Linked DNA regions of Arabidopsis thaliana. The protein of the gene in region 2 interacts with the protein of the main gene of each other region in a pairwise test. Each region holds a gene or a part of one and is shown on either strand. Other genes may lie near its edges. The genes, in order: NAC024 and AGL91.

The links.
Region 1: the proteins of AGL91 (region 2) and NAC024 interact in a two-hybrid assay, tested with the Arabidopsis thaliana proteins (one large-scale study listed by BioGRID).

Annotation. Positions count from the first base shown.
Region 1 is NC_003070.9:22,240,467-22,243,804, reverse strand, and holds NAC024 (NAC domain containing protein 24), read left to right. Parts: upstream 1-1,569; coding exon 1,570-2,532; downstream 2,533-3,338. Other genes in the region: AT1G60360 (RING/U-box superfamily protein), read left to right, coding at 74-1,057.
Region 2 is NC_003074.8:2,090,552-2,093,653, forward strand, and holds AGL91 (AGAMOUS-like 91), read right to left. Parts: upstream 1,248-3,102; coding exon 711-1,247; downstream 1-710.

The DNA.
Region 1 (3,338 bases), on a different chromosome or scaffold from region 2:
CATGCAACCCTCAACGTTATCTATAAATGTTGTAAATGTTTATATGTCTTGTGTATAACAATTCCTTCCAACAATGTCATTGAGTCAGCCAATAACACGGACCGATAGTGCACCCAATGGAGCATTTAGGACTTTTGGTCTCTACTGGTGCTACCATTGTGATCGTATGGTCAGAATTGCATCCTCTAACCCATCAGAGATCGCCTGTCCTCGATGTTTGAGGCAATTTGTCGTTGAGATTGAAACGAGACAACGGCCTCGGTTTACTTTCAACCATGCTACTCCGCCTTTTGATGCTTCTCCTGAGGCTCGTCTTCTCGAAGCTCTCTCGCTCATGTTTGAGCCTGCAACCATAGGTAGGTTTGGTGCAGACCCATTTCTTAGGGCAAGATCCAGAAACATCTTGGAACCTGAATCAAGACCCCGACCGCAACATCGAAGACGACACAGCCTTGACAATGTTAACAATGGTGGTTTACCTCTACCAAGAAGAACATATGTTATTCTCCGGCCCAATAATCCGACTAGTCCACTCGGAAACATAATTGCGCCACCAAATCAAGCACCACCACGGCATGTGAACTCACATGATTACTTTACTGGAGCATCAAGCTTAGAGCAGCTGATTGAACAACTAACACAAGACGATAGGCCTGGACCACCACCTGCGTCAGAACCCACCATTAATTCCCTACCATCTGTGAAAATAACACCACAACATCTAACTAACGACATGTCCCAATGCACAGTGTGCATGGAAGAATTCATTGTTGGTGGGGACGCAACGGAATTACCATGTAAACATATTTACCATAAAGATTGTATAGTCCCGTGGCTTAGGCTTAACAATTCTTGCCCTATCTGCCGCCGTGACCTGCCACTTGTCAACACCGTTGCTGAATCTCGAGAAAGGAGCAATCCTATTAGACAAGACATGCCTGAAAGAAGGCGTCCAAGGTGGATGCAACTCGGTAACATTTGGCCATTTAGAGCAAGATACCAAAGGGTTAGTCCAGAAGAAACAGCAAACCAGAATCCTCGAGATAACAGGAGCTAACTCTGAATATTCCATGGGAAATAAAAATCGTGACTATCTATATGTATAGACTCTATGAGACATTGTCTATTTGAATGTGCATGTATATCTCAGAAATAAACTCAAGCGAAACATATTTAACGACTAGAGAAAGCCCTACCAAGCCCATAGCGATAAGAAGGACTTGCATGCTATAACAAAAATAATTAGTGGAAAAAGACTGTAACCTTGAGTAAACTAAACTTCTCTCTCAAATCTTACTGCAGTTCTGTCTTAGTGGTCTTACTGTAACATCCTTTAGTTTCTTGAACCCATCCATTAAAGAGGGAAATAAAGTTGCGAAATAAAGAGAGATCATCAAGAGTCAATTGGTCACCACGAAAATTATAAATAACGGTCGCTACTAACTTAAAAGCACATTTATTCTCTACTCTCTTCCTATTCGCTTCGTCTCCAAGAAACAAACACTCATTCTTGCGTTTGATCTTTCTTTCTCTAGATCCCATATTTTTCTTGATCAATTTAGTTTCATTATGGAGGAAGATGCAGCTTTTGATCTACTCAAAGCCGAACTCTTAAACGCAGAAGACGATGCAATAATCTCACGTTATCTGAAGCGTATGGTCGTCAACGGAGACTCATGGCCTGATCACTTCATCGAAGACGCAGACGTGTTCAACAAGAATCCAAATGTGGAGTTCGATGCTGAGAGCCCTAGCTTCGTGATAGTTAAACCTCGAACAGAGGCTTGTGGTAAAACCGATGGATGTGAAACTGGTTGCTGGAGGATCATGGGTCGTGATAAACCGATAAAATCGACGGAGACTGTGAAGATTCAAGGGTTCAAGAAGATTCTCAAGTTCTGCCTAAAGAGGAAACCTAGAGGATACAAGAGAAGTTGGGTAATGGAAGAGTATAGGCTTACCAATAACTTGAACTGGAAGCAAGATCATGTGATTTGCAAGATTCGGTTTATGTTTGAAGCTGAAATCAGTTTCTTGCTAGCCAAGCATTTCTACACTACATCAGAATCACTTCCTCGAAATGAGCTGTTGCCAGCTTACGGATTCCTTTCATCAGATAAGCAATTGGAGGATGTATCTTATCCGGTGACGATAATGACTTCTGAAGGAAACGATTGGCCTAGCTACGTTACCAACAATGTGTATTGTCTGCATCCATTGGAGCTCGTTGATCTTCAAGATCGGATGTTTAATGATTACGGAACCTGCATCTTCGCTAACAAGACTTGTGGTAAAACCGATAGATGCATTAATGGTGGTTACTGGAAAATTTTGCACCGTGATAGGCTGATCAAGTCAAAGTCCGGGATAGTTATTGGTTTCAAGAAGGTGTTTAAGTTTCATGAAACGGAGAAAGAAAGATACTTCTGTGGTGGAGAAGATGTGAAGGTAACTTGGACTCTAGAAGAGTATAGGCTTAGCGTGAAGCAGAATAAATTCTTGTGCGTTATCAAGTTTACTTATGATAACTAAGAATCTTTTCTTTGGATTTTATGATCATCTTAGTATCTTGAGGACATTCTCTTTAAAACATATATCGATAGTCTTTGTGTTTATATTTCTCTGTTCAATATGATTTAGAGACTAGTGTGCTTTTTTCTCTCTTTCATGTGGTTTGTGATTGTGAGAGGAGAGGCTTTTTTGTCGCTGCAATATTTTAAACCCAAAATAACACTAATCGCATGTAAACAATCGATATTAGCAGCAATCACAAACATCAGAGACAAATTGAGCCTTATGTAACCAAACATGTACATATGATTCGACAACAACCTACATGTTTCTGAATCAGCAACCCGAACAATCTATAAATTAAATGAAGATCAATTAAATTGACATGTTTTTTTATCTGCTAAGCAGAGATTGTTGTTGTGTTGATTTCTCGTGTATATGCACATGTAGCCTTTTTGGTTGCCAGAGACTTAAGAGAGAAAGAATATTTTCCTCTGTTTTAAGAAATATTCAAAGAATGCCATGGACTAGGATATAAAATGCCATGGTCTAATATGATCCGTTTTAACATTATATTTATACATATGTCAACGAAACAACTATCATATATTTTAAGCTGATACTAATTTAAGCAGACCAGGAAAAACAAAAAAAAAAGTTTATAAATTTTTTATCCATTATAGCAAAGTCAAAATATCCGTGGACGAAGGGTGGTAGCGAAATAAAGAGACATCATCAAGGGTAAATTGGTCACTACGTAAAGATATAATGGTCCCCACTAAAGTTTCAACATGAGTCTCACTTCTTCTTCGCTCTCCAAGAAACAA
Region 2 (3,102 bases):
ATTATACCCGTTAAGTACCATAAAACTATTAGAGAAAAAGAGAGGTCTTTTAAAATTTATATGAGAAGATATGGAGAACAATCTGAAAAACCAGAAACAAATCCTTTAAGAATTCTTAAAAATCTCTACAAGATTTCTTTTAAAAACTCTAAAATAATTCTTAAACAATTCTTAAGGAATTCTTAAATTATTCATAGAATACAATTACAAAAATACTGTATTTTTGTTTTAGGTAATATTTAATAATTTGGAATAAGATATATAGGACATACATCAAATTATGTATTTTGATACTATTTTGACTAAAACTTAAAAATGTTAAAAACACATTTATAAATATGTTAATTAGTTGGTGTACTCTTATGTATTTTTTTCTAATTAAAGATAAATATCTAGAGTGTGTAGACAAAATCTATAATAATATAAGAGAAAAAAAAACAAATAACGCTTTAAAATTTCATATCGTAATCATTATCAATTTTGTAGAGTAGGAGATATTGTTATAATTCATTGTTTTTGAAAAGAGAAAATCTTCATAGTAATATTTGGCAACCGAAAGTTACAAACCATCGATCATCAAGAGGAAGATACAATCAATAAACCTGTACCAACCATCTGCTACATCTCTACCATATAAATCTATAACGACTAATACAAAATGAAAGTTCCAAATCGGTGTTGTTACTGTTGCCTTCTCATTTGCATAACTGCTAATTATCATTAGAGAGAAACATGAGAGAAGACGAAGCCTGCATATGACTAATGTTACTTTGGATCCCACAGCTTATTTTCTTAATCTTAGCCTCAAATTCCTTGAGTTCCTCAAGCGTAAGCTCCTCAATGGGCTTATTGAACTTATCCTGTTCAGCAGATTCAAGCCACTTGTGAAGATCTTCACCATGTTTCTTCTCAGCTTCAGCTTCTTCAGTAATCGAGTTGAGGCGTTTACATATCTTCTTCTCCTGTCTAGCTCTATTGCCTCTACTATAGCCTGATGTTTCACAGCTATCTCCTTCTTCTTCTTCTTCGAATTCATTCTTAAACCGTTCTGCAATCACATCAAAATTCGGTTTCCCGAAGGAATACGGTTTGTTTCCTGGAGAAAAGACAACAATACCAACCTCCGCGTTGCACAGAGTCGCAAGCTCGCTCGCTTTCTTGAACAAACCCAGCCTACGTTTTGAGAAGGTAACTTGCTTCGTGTTTGTGTCTTGCACTTTCTCCATCTTAATCTTTCTCCTACCCATTTCTTTTTTTTTGTGTGAAATGTTTTGAGTGATTGTAATCTATGTTTGTGTATATAAGAAGAAGATTGTATTTCTTTATGTATTTATAGTAATGAATGTGGAGAAAGTTGTTATTGAACCTCATCATCATATATGTATATTTTTAGTAAACTTTTGTTTTTGCATATATATACATATTTAGTAACTCCACTTTGAAAATCTTGCATTACCTTATGAGAGCATTGAATATTTTCCATGTATTTAATCAATATTCATAGATATTTAACTATTATTAGTATTATCTTACTATTAGACCTCTTATTAAATGGTAGTTTGAATTACAAGGAGAACTTTACCAAGTTAATAAACAAAATTTCTTCTTTACCAAAATAGTTTATTTCCACCCAACAAACAATAATAGTAGTTTGACAAATAATAAACACATATTAAAAAAATATTAACTTCTATGTATTATAGTAATAATCTTACGTGTCATATTTTTTTTTTAAATAGTATTATTTCTGGGTATAATTAATCATAAACATCTATGTACATTTAAAATTAAACCATTATTTATATTCAATAAAAATATAATCTGCAATGCGTTTAACCCATTAAGCCTTTTTTTTTGTTAGGTATAATTAAATCGAAACTCTATAAGTCTCTAAATCTATTACGTGGGTCAATTGACTTTTTGCAAAATTAGTTAGACTTCTATATATAAAAGTTGACTCTTGTCCACTAAGACAATTGACACCTGTAAAATTTTTATGGTATTGAACCCAATTAAATTTATTTTAAGTAAGTATGTTATATATAATGAAGTCCATTAATATAAATTATCTTAAATATCTTAATACTTGTTTGTCCATATCCTAAAAAAGTAAAAACGGTTTGGCTTCTTCTTTTTCGTTATTTCTTTTATTTTAGATCGTAGAGCTTTAAAATTAGAATTTCAGTAAAAACAAATTATGACTCCGATGGAGTAATTTTCTGGCTCTTACAGAGAGAACAAGCGTGGACTATTAATTGAAAAGCACAGAACAACCGCTGCTTATCTGTTCCATAACACAAAACAAACAAATAGATGTTATAAATGAAATTCAATCAATGAAAATTAATCACTCTATCTGTTTCAAAATATTATTATATGTCTTAGATAAAAGCACAAAGTTCAAGAATCTAACTAATTTTTTTGTTATATTTTTTACATTAAAAACATAACTTAATATTTAATTATAGATAATCTAGCCAATGGTGAAATTTAATGTAGAATATACATAGTCACAAATTTGAATGAATTTAATTTTTGTCATAGAAATCTAAATGTTTTTCTAAAATATCTTATCATATAAAACAGAGGGAGTAAATACATTAAGTTTTCAAGCCAAAAAAAAAAAAGAAAAAAAAAACTTACAAGGAGGTAGATATCAATTATGTAGATCAAAGAATAAGCCGTCCAAAGTCCAGCGTTGATGAAACTAACTAACGACAGCCAAAACGGCATGTACTTGAAGGTCTTACTCTCCAGCATTTTTTTCTAATTGTTGCACGAATTACAAACAAAAAAAACTAATCAAAACCGCTAATTAATACTTAACCATCAATGAGAGTGAGAGTGAGAGTGAGAGTGAAAGCTTTACCTTGGCAAATGAAACATAGATACAAATGTTGAAAATGTTGCAAACAATCCCAATGAGTGTATACTTGGCGAATAAACTTTGAATTGCCCAAATAGTAATCACATAGAACGATGTCACAAAATCAAACACAGCCAGAAGACATAGATTAACATTTCTCTTCTGCACATCAACATCAACATCATCAAAATCAATATGCAGAATTAGACATATCTAAGTATAAAAGATGGACCTAC